Linked DNA regions of Arabidopsis thaliana. The protein of the gene in region 3 binds, or shares a complex with, the protein of the main gene of each other region. Each region holds a gene or a part of one and is shown on either strand. Other genes may lie near its edges.

What was found.
Region 1: SIP3 (region 3) and CBL2 share a complex: the UniProt entries of both Arabidopsis thaliana proteins name them as parts of the K(+)-channel calcium-sensing kinase/phosphatase complex.
Region 2: SIP3 (region 3) and CBL9 share a complex: the UniProt entries of both Arabidopsis thaliana proteins name them as parts of the K(+)-channel calcium-sensing kinase/phosphatase complex.

The regions. Positions count from the first base shown.
Region 1 is NC_003076.8:22,668,999-22,674,620, reverse strand, and holds CBL2 (calcineurin B-like protein 2), read right to left. Parts: upstream 3,509-5,622; 5' UTR 3,076-3,508; intron 2,607-3,075; 5' UTR 2,550-2,606; intron 2,469-2,549; 5' UTR 2,433-2,468; coding exon 2,309-2,432; intron 2,173-2,308; coding exon 2,090-2,172; intron 1,992-2,089; coding exon 1,932-1,991; intron 1,836-1,931; coding exon 1,727-1,835; intron 1,652-1,726; coding exon 1,599-1,651; intron 1,505-1,598; coding exon 1,424-1,504; intron 1,347-1,423; coding exon 1,234-1,346; intron 1,100-1,233; coding exon 1,042-1,099; 3' UTR 991-1,041; exon of another isoform or gene 766-990; intron 708-765; 3' UTR 521-707; downstream 1-520. Other genes in the region: AT5G55980 (serine-rich protein-like protein), read right to left, coding at 3,979-4,320; AT5G55970 (RING/U-box superfamily protein), read right to left, coding at 5,309-5,455. UniProt on the Arabidopsis thaliana protein: Acts as a calcium sensor. CBL proteins interact with CIPK serine-threonine protein kinases. Binding of a CBL protein to the regulatory NAF domain of a CIPK protein lead to the activation of the kinase in a calcium-dependent manner.
Region 2 is NC_003076.8:19,129,088-19,133,909, forward strand, and holds CBL9 (calcineurin B-like protein 9), read right to left. Parts: upstream 3,218-4,822; 5' UTR 3,021-3,217; intron 2,790-3,020; 5' UTR 2,641-2,789; coding exon 2,562-2,640; intron 2,179-2,561; coding exon 2,096-2,178; intron 1,773-2,095; coding exon 1,713-1,772; intron 1,618-1,712; coding exon 1,509-1,617; intron 1,416-1,508; coding exon 1,363-1,415; intron 1,242-1,362; coding exon 1,161-1,241; coding exon of another isoform or gene 1,104-1,160; exon of another isoform or gene 1,073-1,103; coding exon 960-1,072; intron 873-959; coding exon 809-872; 3' UTR 553-808; downstream 1-552. UniProt on the Arabidopsis thaliana protein: Acts as a calcium sensor involved in abscisic acid (ABA) signaling and stress-induced ABA biosynthesis pathways. Contributes to the regulation of early stress-related CBF/DREB transcription factors.
Region 3 is NC_003075.7:15,065,082-15,069,688, reverse strand, and holds SIP3 (SOS3-interacting protein 3), read right to left. Parts: upstream 2,662-4,607; 5' UTR 2,290-2,661; coding exon 964-2,289; 3' UTR 506-963; downstream 1-505. Other genes in the region: AT4G30970 (uncharacterized protein), read left to right, coding at 379-423. UniProt on the Arabidopsis thaliana protein: CIPK serine-threonine protein kinases interact with CBL proteins. Binding of a CBL protein to the regulatory NAF domain of CIPK protein lead to the activation of the kinase in a calcium-dependent manner.

The DNA.
Region 1 (5,622 bases), on a different chromosome or scaffold from region 3:
AAAAGCTGAAGAGACGGCATGAAGTATGGCTATTGAGTTGAGTTGGCTTTAGAAGCACTGTTTGATCTTGAAGTTGAGTTTGCGTCTAGTATGGCCGAAGATAAGATGAAGAGTAAAAGTTGCTTTTTCTAAATGAAAAGCGCTCCTTGGAGAAAGAGATAGTCTACATGGAGCGTGAAGAACTTTTAGAAGAGGTTTCTTATTTCAGTCTTGTGTAGCAAAACAAGAAGAATGGTCTTCCTTCTCCTCAAGAAAGAACATGGAAGTCATTGAAGCATAAATGAGTCATTCTTCCATTGCCTTACTACAAACACAATGTTCCCCTCATCTACAATGGATGGGAAACTTGATTGGCAAGTCACTTCCTTTTGTATTAATGTAGGGTTCTTGGTGAGGGAAAATCGCTAATTCTTCAATTAGGTTTTTTTTCCCTTTTCTCACCTCTTCTTCTTTTTGGAAGAACATTATTCATGTCTCTGCTTCTCAACCATCCCCCGAAGCTCTGCTTTCGTATACCCTTGTTGGTAAGATCATCTCCTCTTCTCTCTAATGGCGTCTCATCGAAGATCCACTTTTTGTCATCATGTAAGTTGATTCTTGTGGAGCTGATCTCGGAAAACTCGTCATTAGGAGGGCTGGTGACATCACTCAGTTTTGACTAGTTTTGCTTACAAGTCACATATGAAATGACTAGTTTTGCTTGCAATCTAGAAATCCATTGAATTAATATTAAAAGCTAACTCTAATAACCAAAACACAGAGATTGAAGCAAATCTTTTTAATTGGATTAATAAATAAACTGAAAAACTTTACATTACCATAACATCAAGATGCAAAAGTTGTATCTACAGATAGACCGAGCGAAATCAAAAAGGACAAAAACCAAACTAAAAAGAAGAATTTTGCTTCACAAAAAAAGCTCAATAAAAAATAAAATGAGTTCAGAGATTTAGAAATGTAACAAATAAAGAACCATAACGAAAGAACAACCTTCAACAATACAATGATGTCTTGCCGCTGCTTGCTTTTGCTTTTGCTTTTTCAGGTATCTTCAACCTGAGAATGGAACACAAAGCTTGGAAACGTAGTCGTGATATCCCTGCAGAGCAAGCACACAACAGGATCACGACCTTTATTACATATCATGGAGAATAGAAGAAAGAGAAACCAGAGAAGGAATTTGGTTGAATAGATTCAATCCTGGTTATATAAATAGAAAGATTTGGAACTCACTTGAGATATTGAAGAGTCATGTTCTTCAGAAGGCTGGGATGTCTAAGAACAAGGCTTCTCCACTCTTCCTTATCGATCTTTCCATCGTGTTTTGTGTCTGCTTCCTCAAACGTCTGAAACATTCAAAACTCGGGAAATTACTTTCAAAGAAAAAATATAGGGTGAAGAGGAAAAAAAGTAAGTAACTTACCTTGTCGATTATATCCTCAATGACAGTATCCTTCAAATTCATTCCAGATTCAGCAAGCGTAGCGACAACCATTTGTTTCACCTGGACAAATGATGGACGAAAATGTCAGTGAGGATAATAAAGCGCACTTCTACAAGGTTATATATGAAGCTATTTGAAGATATGGAAGCTTTACCTCTTGCCGTTCGATAAACCCTTGCTGTTTAAGATCATATAGCTGAAATGAAACTGCAAAAAAATAGTATATATCATTAATGTGTTATCCCAATCTTGTTTTTGAGATACAAGCTAAAAGGGACGTACAGTGAATTTTGTCATCTATAGGCGCATTTGGGTGAAAGACGGAGAGAGCACGAGCAAATTCCTCAAACCCCAGTATTCCATTGTGCTTTGTATCAAACAAATCGAAAACCTAGAAACAAAATCACATATTTCAGCATTTCTTCTAAACTTGATCTTGACAAAAATGGGTTTAAGAACACTTATAATGTGAAGAAAGAAACATTACCCGATCTGCAAACAAACTCTCTTTTTTATTTGTCTTAAACAAAGCCAACTGAAACTCTTCCTGATACAAACAAGAGATGAGTAAATTAGACAGATTGTTAGATCAATCACTAAAGCTTTACCAAATGAGGAAGAAGATCAAACAAGTTAGAGTTATACCTTGTTTATTAGCCCATCATCAATCACGGCACTGCTGATTTTCTTAAAAAGCTCATAAAGAGCTTCTATTTCACTCACACTAACTGCATTCCAAAACCAAATTCAATCATCAATAGTCTTCAGAAGAAATATTTTTGCATTCCTCAAATGGTATTGCATCGAATCTTATAACCGGAAAAAAAAAAAAAAAAAAAGAGTAGAGAAGGTGATAGGGCATACAAACAGTGTCTCTTGCAAGCAATTCAGGATCTCCAAGGCCACCAGATTGTTTATACAAATCAAGATCAAAACACCCTAAAACAGAGGTGCATAAATGCTTGATACCGTCAACGCACTGCGACATGATATATCTTAAGCAGCAAATCAAAACTCTCCATGCCTGCATATAAAACATTGTGAACTTGTTTTGCTAATTTCAAAAAACAGCTCTACAGAAGCAAGCATATGAAGAACACTGTACCTTTCAACCATTTCCTAGTGTTTTTTGCTGAGAAAGGATGAGACTTTGCGAGAGTATCTGTAACACAAGTTGCAAAATTCAGAGTAATCTAAATAAGTCAGTCAATATAGGCAACACAAACATTGCTTAGAAACTGAAGTCATTATCATGATTTTACTATTCAGATGATTCAGTTATGTCCACATAATATATACAATATTGAAGAAGATAAGAAAATTAATGGAGAATCTAAAGACTTAATCAAAGCTCATTAACCAAATTTTAATCTTAAACATCACAATTTATGGACACACAAAATTAATAAAATCCATCAGAAACAAACCCAAATTGGGAAATTTGAATTTATACATTAATGAACTCAAGGATTACACAATCAATTACAGGTTCTGAGAAACAAAACCCGATCTAGATCCCCAAAAATCGTCCTAATGGATTCGTGAATCGCAGATTCAACAGAGATAGAAGAATCTTGATATGTAAGTGAACTCAAAATGAGTAGAATGGATTTGCGTATACGAAAATTTACCGATTACGTTGATTCTCAATCTCAAGTCGGCTCTGGTTGTTGAAGCTGAGCGAGGAAGACGGAGACGATTTGTTGTAAAGCAGAGGAGAGAGTTGGAAAACAAATTAAAACCTGAAGAATCTTTTTAAATATCTCAACAAACAACAAAAACTCAATCTTTTTGCATTATTACAAATTAAATCCTGAAAAATCTGCTCAAATCGTCGTCGTTTTATTCTTCAAAATACGGTTCGATTTGATTTTCGTTCCGGTTAAGTAAAACTCGAGCTGAATTGAACCGGACATAAATTTGAATTTCACATTCACCCATAGAATATATGATCTATTGTGCTATTGGAGAATTTAAGTTTTCAAAAAATCTTCAAATTAGTACATTTTTTACGATGTTAAATGCAAAATAATCATACAAAATCAAAGATAATATGTGATATAGCCATTTTTTTCTATTGTCAAATTTTAAATTTTTGACAAGTAACATATAAAATCGAACCTCCCGAAATGATAAGTTCAATTATATCTTCAGAAATTTTAAAAATAATGTGATCATCAAAACGTTTACAATATATATAAATTTGCAAAAATATATTATATTGCGTATTATTTCTGACTTCGTAAAATTATTTTATATTTTCTTTATATAAAATGTAGACAGAAAAATTCATTTCAAGTATTTTTGAAGCATATAAAATGTGTATGTAATAAATGCTTAAATTTGAATCAAATTGGTGAAAATTAGATAAAAGTTTACCTTGAATCGGGTTAAGCCGATTTCAAGCGGTTTAGTAATACAGACCAATGTCTTTTTCGATAAAAATTATTGAACAATGTCAAAAGAAGAAGTAGAAGAAACAAACAAATAACAAAACCGACAGTTATTATACCGAACAAATCCAGTAACCGGGTTTACTGAGCCTTGAGGGAGTCACTAAACCGGCTCGACTTGGACGACAATAAAACAGCGAGGTTCGACCCAATAGACCCGGCACGTGTCAACGAATCAACGCGGTGATACCTGCACCTGAAAGAACCGGCGTGTGTCGTCGGAGAACATAAACAATTTAGCCTCGTAGATTTACCGGAGGACGATCTCCAACGTTTTAAACTAGGTGAGTTATTGTCTTGGCTCTTCGATTCAACGGTAGAGCTACCGGAGGGTTTAGGGTTGATCTTGGCTAAACTTGTGGAATACTTTTCTTGTGCCTTAGGTTGTCCGAGATTTAGGGTTGAAGGGTTTTCTTTCGTCATGGTTTTGACGAACGTAAATAAGAATGAATTTGTGTTGTTGTTTCTTGCTAATGAATCAAAAGGTAATTTCTATAGTGACTTTTGTTATGAAGGTAAAGAATGATTTGTGTTGTTTCTTGCTAATGAATCCAAAAGGTCATTTATAATAGTGACTTGTGAGAGAAGGCAGCTAAAAATAGTCGTTGGATGTTGTTGACAAACTGCTTTTTTAAGTTATTGGTGGTTAGTATTCTAGAAAAGAGTTATTGTAAATTAGTAGAAAATATTTGACTTGGAGGTTTTATTCTTCTTTTTATGGTTTACACATTTTGTGCAAGGACAAATATTATGACTTTTCAACCAATTAGGAACATACTTAGTTGTGTTAGTGCCAATTGAGAATCTAGAACAGTCTAATTTAAAGATTCTGTAACCAAAAAAAAACATCTGATTGTTTTTGTTTGGTTTGTGCCTATTTTAGGTTTTGACAGACTCAAAGGCTTAAAATTCAAACTCTAAATTAAACACCCTAAGACTTACTTATATAGCTGAAGTCAAAACCATCTCAAAGACTCCAACTATTTAGATGCCATGTCCAAAACTTTTATACTTATGAGATATAGTTAATGCTATAAAAATATTTCTTTTAAGAAAACCGACATCCTAATTGATAGTTAATGAAGTAATGTTTGGGTTTTCAGTTTTAAATTGCAAAAAAAAAAATTGAACATATAAAAAAATATATACATCAAGATATGTAAATGAGACGAGAGAAAAAACAAAATATGTAGTATAAACACTATATTAAGATTCTATAAAGTTGTTGCCATTGTGATTTGCATCATCTACTCACAATGTACATAACGATTACTGGTGAGCTCTTTATGTACAAAAAATTTGACACTCACACAAGTAATCGACTTTGCTTCAATCCAAAACTAAAAAAAAAAAAAACTGAGAAAGAAAAAAATTATATTGAGCTTTTGTTGCTTTTAGGGTATTTGCTTTGTCATCTTGGAAGATCTTGTTTGCAGAGAGGACAACAAGAGATGATACGAAGCCATTGATCTACACACTTTGAGTGAAACTTATGTGAACATGGAAGCTTCCTTACTTCTTCTTTGTCTTTATACTTTGCCAAACATATACAACACTCCTGCAAAACCAAATCAAAACTCAAAATCTAAGTCCTTTTCAATCATAAACGAGACTAATAGACAACATTCGACATCAGATTCCCTTAGTGGATCAAAACAGAGCTATCACAGATTAAACCTTATGGTCCAAGAAAACTTGTGGATTTGGCTTGAATTGAGAGTAAAA
Region 2 (4,822 bases), on a different chromosome or scaffold from region 3:
CCGTATTTCCGGGATTCTCTATACCATGCCATTTTTCTTTTTTTAGATATGGACAACGTCCCACTATCACGCTCATCTAGATTGTGCCAGGGGAAGTGTCATCTTCCGTGAGAAATTTCTTTTTGGTATCAACTCTTGAGTTTCATACAAATGATTCTTGTCTGAACTCTTGAGTTTCAACTAAATGATCCTCAAACTTGGCTTTTGTAGTCAAAGAACATGGAGGATATGTAAAAGCGTCGCCGTACAGGGGGATTAGAGAGAATCACTCCACAGCATGGAATGTCTGAATCCGCTTGAGTTCTTTAGCTACTGGGATCATCATTGGTCTGTCTTCATCTCAAAGCCGGCACCACACACGTCAATTCGGATTTATCGGTTACAATAAATTCAGGTCTGGTTTGATTATAATTTTAGTTTCATTTTGGTATTTTTGAAGTTTTCAATTCCCTTAATAATAATAAATTGATTTATATGGCTAATTTCTTCTGTCTAAGCATATTTGACTTTGATTTCTCGTTACATAAAACATAAAGTGTTGGAATAATTTATGAGCAAAATCAAATCTTTAATCAGAAATTGTGGTTTTATATTAATCTTTTCGTAGAACTACAACTTGAGTATTCAAAACTGTTAAAGAAAGAGAGCCAAAAGTAATCGCAATACATGAAATTGAAATCCAATAGACTAAAAATTCCAAAGGAAATAGAGCTCGATCCTGCTATATAACATTGTTGGAATCAATCTTCTTTTTATTCTTGGTCCAGCCTACGACTTGGTCTCTATAAACCAGCTTGTCTTGTCTCTTTCACGTCGCAATCTCGTCCACCTCCGAGTTAAATACGAAACTCGGAAATGTCGTCGTTATATCCCTAAAATTGAGTTTTTAAGTCCTCAAACTTGGAAAATGGCACCAAAACTGGCCAAATAGATGGAAGTATCATAGTAAGGAGACATACCTGAGATACGGAAGAGTCATGATTTTAAGCAAAGATGGGTTTTTGATAACGAAATTGCTCCATTCTGTCTTATCAATCTTTCCATCCCGATCCACATCTGCGTCCTCAAATGTCTGTTCACGAAAAGAAAAAAAAACTCGAGTTTCATAAAACAGTCTTTCTTTTGACAGAAAACAAACTTGTAATAGACAACAAGTAAACCTGATCAAGTATCATCTCTATTGTATCATCAGCCAGTTTCATTTCAGATTCGCAGAGAAGTGCAATCAACATCTGCTTCACCTGCCAAAAACGCATACACAATTATGATTACTTATAGATGATGCAGAATCCATAATACTGAAAGTCTTTGAAACATAGATTGTTTGGGAATGGAATGTGAAGATATAGGACCATTGTTTACCTCTTGGCGCTCAATGAAGCCTGTGCAGTCCATGTCGTAAAGCCTAAAGGTAACTGATATATGAAATACAGAATAACATGAATAAAAGTACAGCAAGGCTTTAGAGAAACGACGATGGATATAAACTCGTTTATGGGTCAACTTACAGTCTGTTTTCTCCTCTAGGGAAGCATTAGGATGGAAAACATTGAGTGATCTCACAAAGTCTCCAAAATCAATTACGCCTTTTCGTTTAACATCAAATAAATCAAATATCTGGAAAAAAGAGCATTACCATTAACTACTTATAATAGAACTAATCGTTACGACTAACTACAAAGTTACTAAGGCCAAAGAAACTTAGAATTTACCCTATTGGCAAACAAATTTTCTTTCTTTCTGTTCTTGAACAAAGCAAGTTGAAACTCTTCCTGCATAACAAGTTGGTCGAGAAAATAAGTAACAATATCCAAGAGTGGGCCAAGAAAACATCAATTTTTATAAGCAAACCAATATAAAAAATGGAATTAAAATTCAAGTCAACTATCATCAACACAGAGACTTGGTGAGCAATAAGGAGCCCACAGCTCAGCATGGAGATTCAATAATAAATTTGTGAAAGTCAAGAAAGTTGACAAATAATACGGAATATGGATAATGGTGCAATGAATATTATTATGTCACTGTACATCACGCATTCAAGATTCTCCCATGAGGTGCGAAATAATCAAAGGGCTATGAGATTTATCATTACCTTGTTTATCAAGCCATCGTCAACAACCGAGCTGCTTATGCTCTTGAACAATTCATACAATGCTTCAACTTCACTAACACTAACTAGAAAAACAAACAAATAATTAGCCACACTGCGAGATTTCTCATCAACATCATGTATATCACCAAAACAAAAATCGAAAGTGATGGTTCTTGAAAACTTTCTCTGATTAAGATTCCATTTGAAAGTAGAAGTAAACTACACTAATGATCCAAGAAACTATTGAAATAGGTTTATGTGATGACTTAAGTAACAACAAGCATCATTTAACAAAGTTGTAGATCAAATAGATTATGAATGAAAGAACCATTTTTCGGATTCAATAAATGGCGAAAACAGATTCTCATATCAGTTAACAATTGATAAAAGAGAGATCTTTATGCTCATGCTCTTTGAGAATAAAGCAAAGAAGAGAAAACGAAACGTATAGTGCAAGTAAACTTACAAGCAGTCTCAGAAGCAAGCTTCACAGGGTTTTCGTGATCGGGAAATTCTCTGGCAGCCGTGGAATGGAAACAACCCATTTACGGATGACAAGAGTAAAACGAAGAAGAAGAAGCTTGTTCCGGAGGTTGATAAAATCGCCAAACTCTACTACAATTTCTGAGATTGTGAAAAAGCTTGATTTCTGATATTACTCACTCCCCATCATCATCATAAGCATCTTTAAAAACTACAATGATTCAATCAAAAACAAAACCCAACAAAAATTGAATTAAAAGACGAACACGATAATTGAATAAGTATAAACCCTAGAAAAAATAAGCAGCAGCTATGTGGCAATCGAATTCAGATTAACAAAATTTTGAATATTAAATCGGAAATTAAACAGGTAATGTAGGAGCGGCTCGAGAATCTCCGAACCCAGAAACTGAATGGTGAAATCGAAAAATTGAGCACTTACCACCGAGAGAACGGGCTCGCCGGCTCGGTGAGAGAGAGAGAGGAAGGGATTTTGATTTTTGAGAAACGAGAGAGAGACGAAGAAGAAGATCTCTGACCACGATGGTAGATGAATTGATCGGACGGCTGAGATTAACTTCAGACTTTGCTGGGCTTTTTTTGTTCGTCAGAGGCCTCCGATTGGGGAAATTATGAGAGAGTTTGTTTATAACATGATCGTCGCACGTGTGAGGGTCTGAACGCGTGTGAAACACATCCTTGTCATTTTTACCTCTTTTTTTCTACCAACCCCATTTTTATTTTATTTTTATTACAGTGTGGGAAGAAAACAAAGCCATTATTGTTGTTTGACATTTTAGTTTCGAAATTTCAACTTTCAACTTTCCTTTTTTATTGGTTAAGAAAGTTAATCATTTTTACAAGTTTTCTTACAATTCTGCAATGATTTTGTTTTGTTTTTGTTTTTTTATTAAAAGAAAAATATTTAGACTCGAATTTTGTTTTTATGTAAGTTTATAACTGTAAGAAAAAAAAAGTGTAGAGAGGTAACTAGTACTTGTAGAGTCAAGATTTAACATACTCAAAAGATACTAAGAATGATATTTATTTGTATAAGATATAATTTTCAAATTGGATCTTTCATTTTCATAATCCATACAGATGTCAAGATCTCATAGTCTTCAAGATCTTGCAATAAATAAATATTAATATGATAACCCAACTAGCAAGGGGACTAATTACTGTATTTATCTATATATTCAAGATTCATGTAGAGTGTGTTTGATAATAATTTCAATATGGGTCATATACCTTTTGGGATAAACGAAGAATTATAATAATTCTGGTCACATTTTAGTAGTCTAATCAATCACGTAGGACAAACAAAAATCCAATAGTATAAAGGCGGTCTAAATAAGAATTATGGATTAACATAATTACTTTTATATAAACCATAAGACATGATCTAATCATGTATATTATCAAATTTTGAAACTAATTAAGTACGTACGCCATCCAACAATCCAATAATGTAAACTATATAATGTTCGCCTAAAAAAAAGAAATGGATTAGCATATCCATAAGACATGGCCAAATCATGCATGTTACGTATATTAAATTTGAAACTGGGATCCTGGCTCTAGTAAGAGTGGTTTATAATTTTATATTGGGTTTAGAATTCCAAATTAAATGGTCAAATTCTTTCATTCCAATACAAGCAGAAACTTTTATGATAGTAAAAAGATTATGAGAAGACTTATGAGGTGTTAAGAAAGTGGGAGATGTATTATGAGGAGGAGAGATTATGAGTATAGTAAAAAGATTATGAGAAAAAAGATTATGACAATAGTAAACAAGAAGGTCCATACAGTATCCATGTTTTTCAAGAAAGTGGGAGATGCCAAAGTCCTGGACCTAATATTTTTGTTTTAAGTTTTGATAACTAACTAATTTTTTTTAAATCAGACACAAAAATAAACATAGACTGTTGATATTTTAGAAAATTAAGATCTATTAAAAAAATATTGTATTTTCTTATAGATAAACAAAAAAAACTTTTTTTTTACTAAAAGACTAATATCAAACTGTCCTAAGGTCCCTACTAATTTTGGGCCGGTGGTCCTGACAAGTGACAACAGTTTAATGGTCCATTTTGTACTTAAAATTGAGTCAAATTAGTTGCGGCAATAAGAGCAGAGCAGTAATGTGTTACACCCTTAAAGGACGTTAGTACTGAAGCCCAAATTCTTTGGAGGTTGGTTGGTTGGTTGATGAAGTGCGGTTTTGATTAATTCACAAATATG
Region 3 (4,607 bases):
ATTCATTTTTCGTTTTTTATGTTACAGATCATGGGTTGGTGTTTGCATCTCCGTTAATGAATCACATGTTTGATATGATTATACTAAGAATTCTATTAAAAAGAGAGATATATACTAATATAATATTAATCGGGTTCATGAAACATCCATCCCAATCACGTAACTTCTACTTTTGTTTTGCTGCCCACCTCATCTTCCTTTTACTTTTCATATTCTATTCACTCATCTGAATCCATCTACTCCACTATTATTTATAATCAACAAATCAATGAATACTTGTCACGATCATTTTATTCAAAAAAAAAAAAAAACTCTGATCACTAATCATACAATCGTCGTCACATTTGTGCTAATCATATCCCTATTGTTATATGACAGATTTTACTAACTCGACTTACTCCACAAGCCCTCTATCATCGCTAGCGACTGAATTAACTTGATGATTCTACTACTCATCTTACCAATTTAAAACGCATAAGCTAAACGACTCAATAAAGTAAAAACGCAGAATTTTTTTAAGTACTTGTGTTAATACAATAGTCACATGAATCTTGAAGAGTATATACATGATTCAACACGACACTACAAATTGGACCAGCATAAACAAAGATGATGTCCTAATCAATCCAAGGTAAGAAGAGACGTGCAAAAAAAAAAAAAAAGACATTTGATGAGAATGAATGCATAAAAATTGACTCTTTAACATTCTTAAAAGAGTCATGATTATTATTTGTTGATGATGGAATCTTTAACACACCATTCTACACCACACACAACATTCTCTGCTTCGTGACGCAACATATCGGCCACGACTCAAACACACACAAAAGACTTACAACTTTTTGAACGATCCAAACTATGATACCACATTAAGAATCAAAAACAAGAATCACGAATCGAATCTAGAATCCAACAATATATATTACAACATAAAAATTTGAAACACGCAAGAATTCATCAAATTCAAGCAGGTGTAGAGGTCCAGAAAATGTCCTTGAGAGCTGGTCTAAGAGCAGTACTGCAGAAGTTGTTGTACTCAAGCGTATCTCCATGATCTTTCTTCACTTCCACGACAACAAACGACGGAGCCACCGCGAATATCTCCGCTTCCACCGCCAATTTCCCTTTCCGACCATTCTGTTTACCTTCAATCCTTACTCTACTCTCACTCTTCCTCACATCAAACTTATTCCCAACTCTCGCCGCTTCTTCCAAACTCGAAATCACGCTACTCGCTGGCCGAGACGTCGCGAATCTCATCTCTCTTTTCTCCTCTTTCTTCTTCTCCTCAAACAACGGCGACAAATCAAACCCTTCCGATAACGCGATTATATGAAACGCGTTTAACGTCTCCGTCTCTTCCTTCGACTTGTGCACCAAGAAATCAACATCCTCTTCCGTGGTTGTGATTGTGGCAGCCACTGGTTCGTTTCTTGATCTCGTTGCTTGTTTCTTGAACCAAGGCGAATCCATAACCTTCTCAATAGTAATCCTCGTATTCGGATTCGGATCAAGAAGCTTAGTCACAAGCCGTCTAGCATCAGAAGAAAGCCAACCAGGACATTTGAAATCTCCTCTGTAAATCTTCCTATACATATTCACAAGATTATCATCTTGAAACGGCAAATAACCAGCAAGAAGCACAAAAAGTATAACACCACAAGACCACAGATCCGCCTTAGCTCCGTCGTATCCTTTCTTCAATATAACCTCCGGCGCAACATAAGCCGGAGTTCCACAAGTTGTATGAAGAAGTCCGTCTTGTTTCAAATGCTCAGTGAAAGCAGAGAGACCAAAATCAGTCACCTTGAGATTACCTTCTTCATCTAACAAGAGATTCTCCGGTTTCAGATCTCGGTGATAAACACCACGGCTATGACAGAAATCAACGGCTGAGATCAATTGCTGGAAATAAACACGAGCTACGTCTTCACGTAGTCTTCCTTTAGCCACCTTAGCGAATAACTCACCGCCTCGTACAAGCTCCATGGCGAAATAGATCTTGGATTTACTCGCCATGACTTCGTGAAGCTCGACGATGTTTGGATGTTTCACCATCCTCATCACAGAGATCTCTCGTTTGATCTGATCAACCATACCAACTTTCACCACTTTCTCTTTTCCGACGACTTTCATCGCCACGCTTTTTCCGGTTTGTATGTTACGAGCGTGGTACACCTTCGCGAATGTTCCGTGACCTAGAAGACGCCCTAGCTCGTAACGGCCGTGAAGCAGCCCCGTACTACTACCACCGTCAGATCCATTCTCCACCGGTTTTGCTCCGACCATGGTTTTTTACTTTACAACGATGATTAGAGAATTTTGTAAAAAAGTAGAAGAAAAAAAAGATTTACAGTTTTTCGATATCTTCGAAGAATTCGAGAGACGAGAGTTTAGAAAACTGGATCACCCGTCCTCGACGTGTTTCCGGTGGCAATTCCTGCCGCCGACGGATCGGTTAAACCGATCACACAGCTTAGTCTTCACCGGCGATACTCCGACCATCTCTCTGCATTCCCTTACTTAGGATTTTTTTCCCCGAAATTCAAATAGAGATTTCAGAAGTAAATTTTTGAGTAAATAAACGAAACTCTCGTTTAAAGTTAAAAATCTTAATTCTCCTTTTGCCGTCGGATAAGAGCTAGCAAAAGAGTAGTGTTTATATAGATCTTAACGACATTGCAATTACGTAGATACCCTTATTAGGGAGTGATAACTACACCGTTTAACCTCCTTTCGCTGACTGACATGTGTCTTCGGCAATCCCTTGGCGGCTTCGAGTTTGTCAATTATTTGGATAGCGATGACGACACGTGTCTTTTTATGACCGGTCACGATGCGATTTACTATTCTATCCCTCTAGTGTTTCGTATTACGGATAGGGATTAACGGCCTAGTGATTAATTTTTTTAGGGCCTGACGGATTAAAATGCAGCGGGTGCGGTTATGGTTGCGGAAGTTTGCGGAAACTGGCGGTTGCAGTTTCAAGCGTTATCAAACGTTTTGAACGACTGGTTGAACGTTTGATAATGGGTGCGTTTGCGGGAGTTTTATGACTGGTAAACCAGCGGGTGTGATAGTAATTAAACAAAAATAAACCAAAATAAATATAATATATTACTATTAAAAGAAAGAAAAATATAATATATTATTATGATAAATTCATAATATTAGAAAAATTAAATATAATTAAAAATTAAAACCGTAAATAAAACATTAAATTCAAAAATAAATAAATTTTGCAAGAAAAAGCTTAATACTTTATGCATTTGGTACATCACCAAAAATTACATCAAATAGTGTGATAAACTGTAAATAACGTTGAACTCGCGGATTTTCCAGATTGCCTCTATACATATAATAAAGTTTCTTCAAGATATCCAAACGATTTATAACACATCTCCAACTCAAAAAAAAATCAAACTGGTCGTGAATGGATGAACGAATATATGATACTTACTTTTGATTATTGATTTTGATTTTAATTTTTATCCGTTTGGGTGGATGCCATAATTGAGAGAATAGAGTTACAATATATTAATTATTAGAGTTTTCTAATAAGAATAAGATATATAGGGTTTGGGTGGAAAATATAATTATTTTAATTAATTATAAAAATAATTTTTTTTTTAACCTAACCGCTACCGCCCGCAACCGCAAACGCTTGCGGGAAGGAGCTTTTGAAATCTGGCGATTTCGAGCGGTCCAAAGCGATATCTAGCGGTTTATATGATTGGTGCCAATCGCTAACAACCGCTACCACCCGCAAACGCTGCGTTTGCGGGTGGCAGAGGGAGAACCAATCAAGCCCTTAGTTTAACTGACTACTTACCCATTTGCATTGCATTATGCATATGGATAATTGAGGGAAATAGCATAATTATATACAATGAATCAAGTTCTGTATCTACAAAAATTCATAAGGTTTATAAAGAAAATAGTTGTGTCTTAATGTAGGGTCTGATAATTTTCCATAGATTCCATGATTCTTTACTATAATTTGTGTTCAATTGTTTTCATTCGTTGTGGTCCTTGTGGACCATTATGTGAGTGTAGATTCTAGGGTTTTCTACTTCATTTCTTTGTTTTTATACACGAAGATGGTAGATAAACTGTGAAGTTTTTCTTGTTTATTTTGAGGCTATAATTTTTGAAACGGATGTTGTAGCAAGAATATATAAATTAAAAACATTCATAGATATGATAATTATCATGTGGTCCGTAAATAACTAAAGTTTGGTTTGCTGAAGATTCTCTATATTACTACAATCAATCAATTAGCTAATGAGTTTTGAGAAGATTTTTTTTGTTTTTGTTTTAAATCGTTCCATTTTAAGAGGAAATATTAGATATGCTATTTTATTAAGTTGTTATGCCCAACAAATAAGTCGTTCCATATACTTTTCAAAATGTTAATAACATATTACATAAAAAAAAAAAAAAAAAACTGGATTAATCACAAAACTGAAAAAAGTTTTGAATCACAGTTCAACCATTAATTTCAACTATTCAAACCAGGTTAAGATAAAAATTAGTGATATACATTTGAAAATGTCAATTACAAAAAAAAAAGATGAAAAATTGAATTAAATACTTTTGACTTTTGA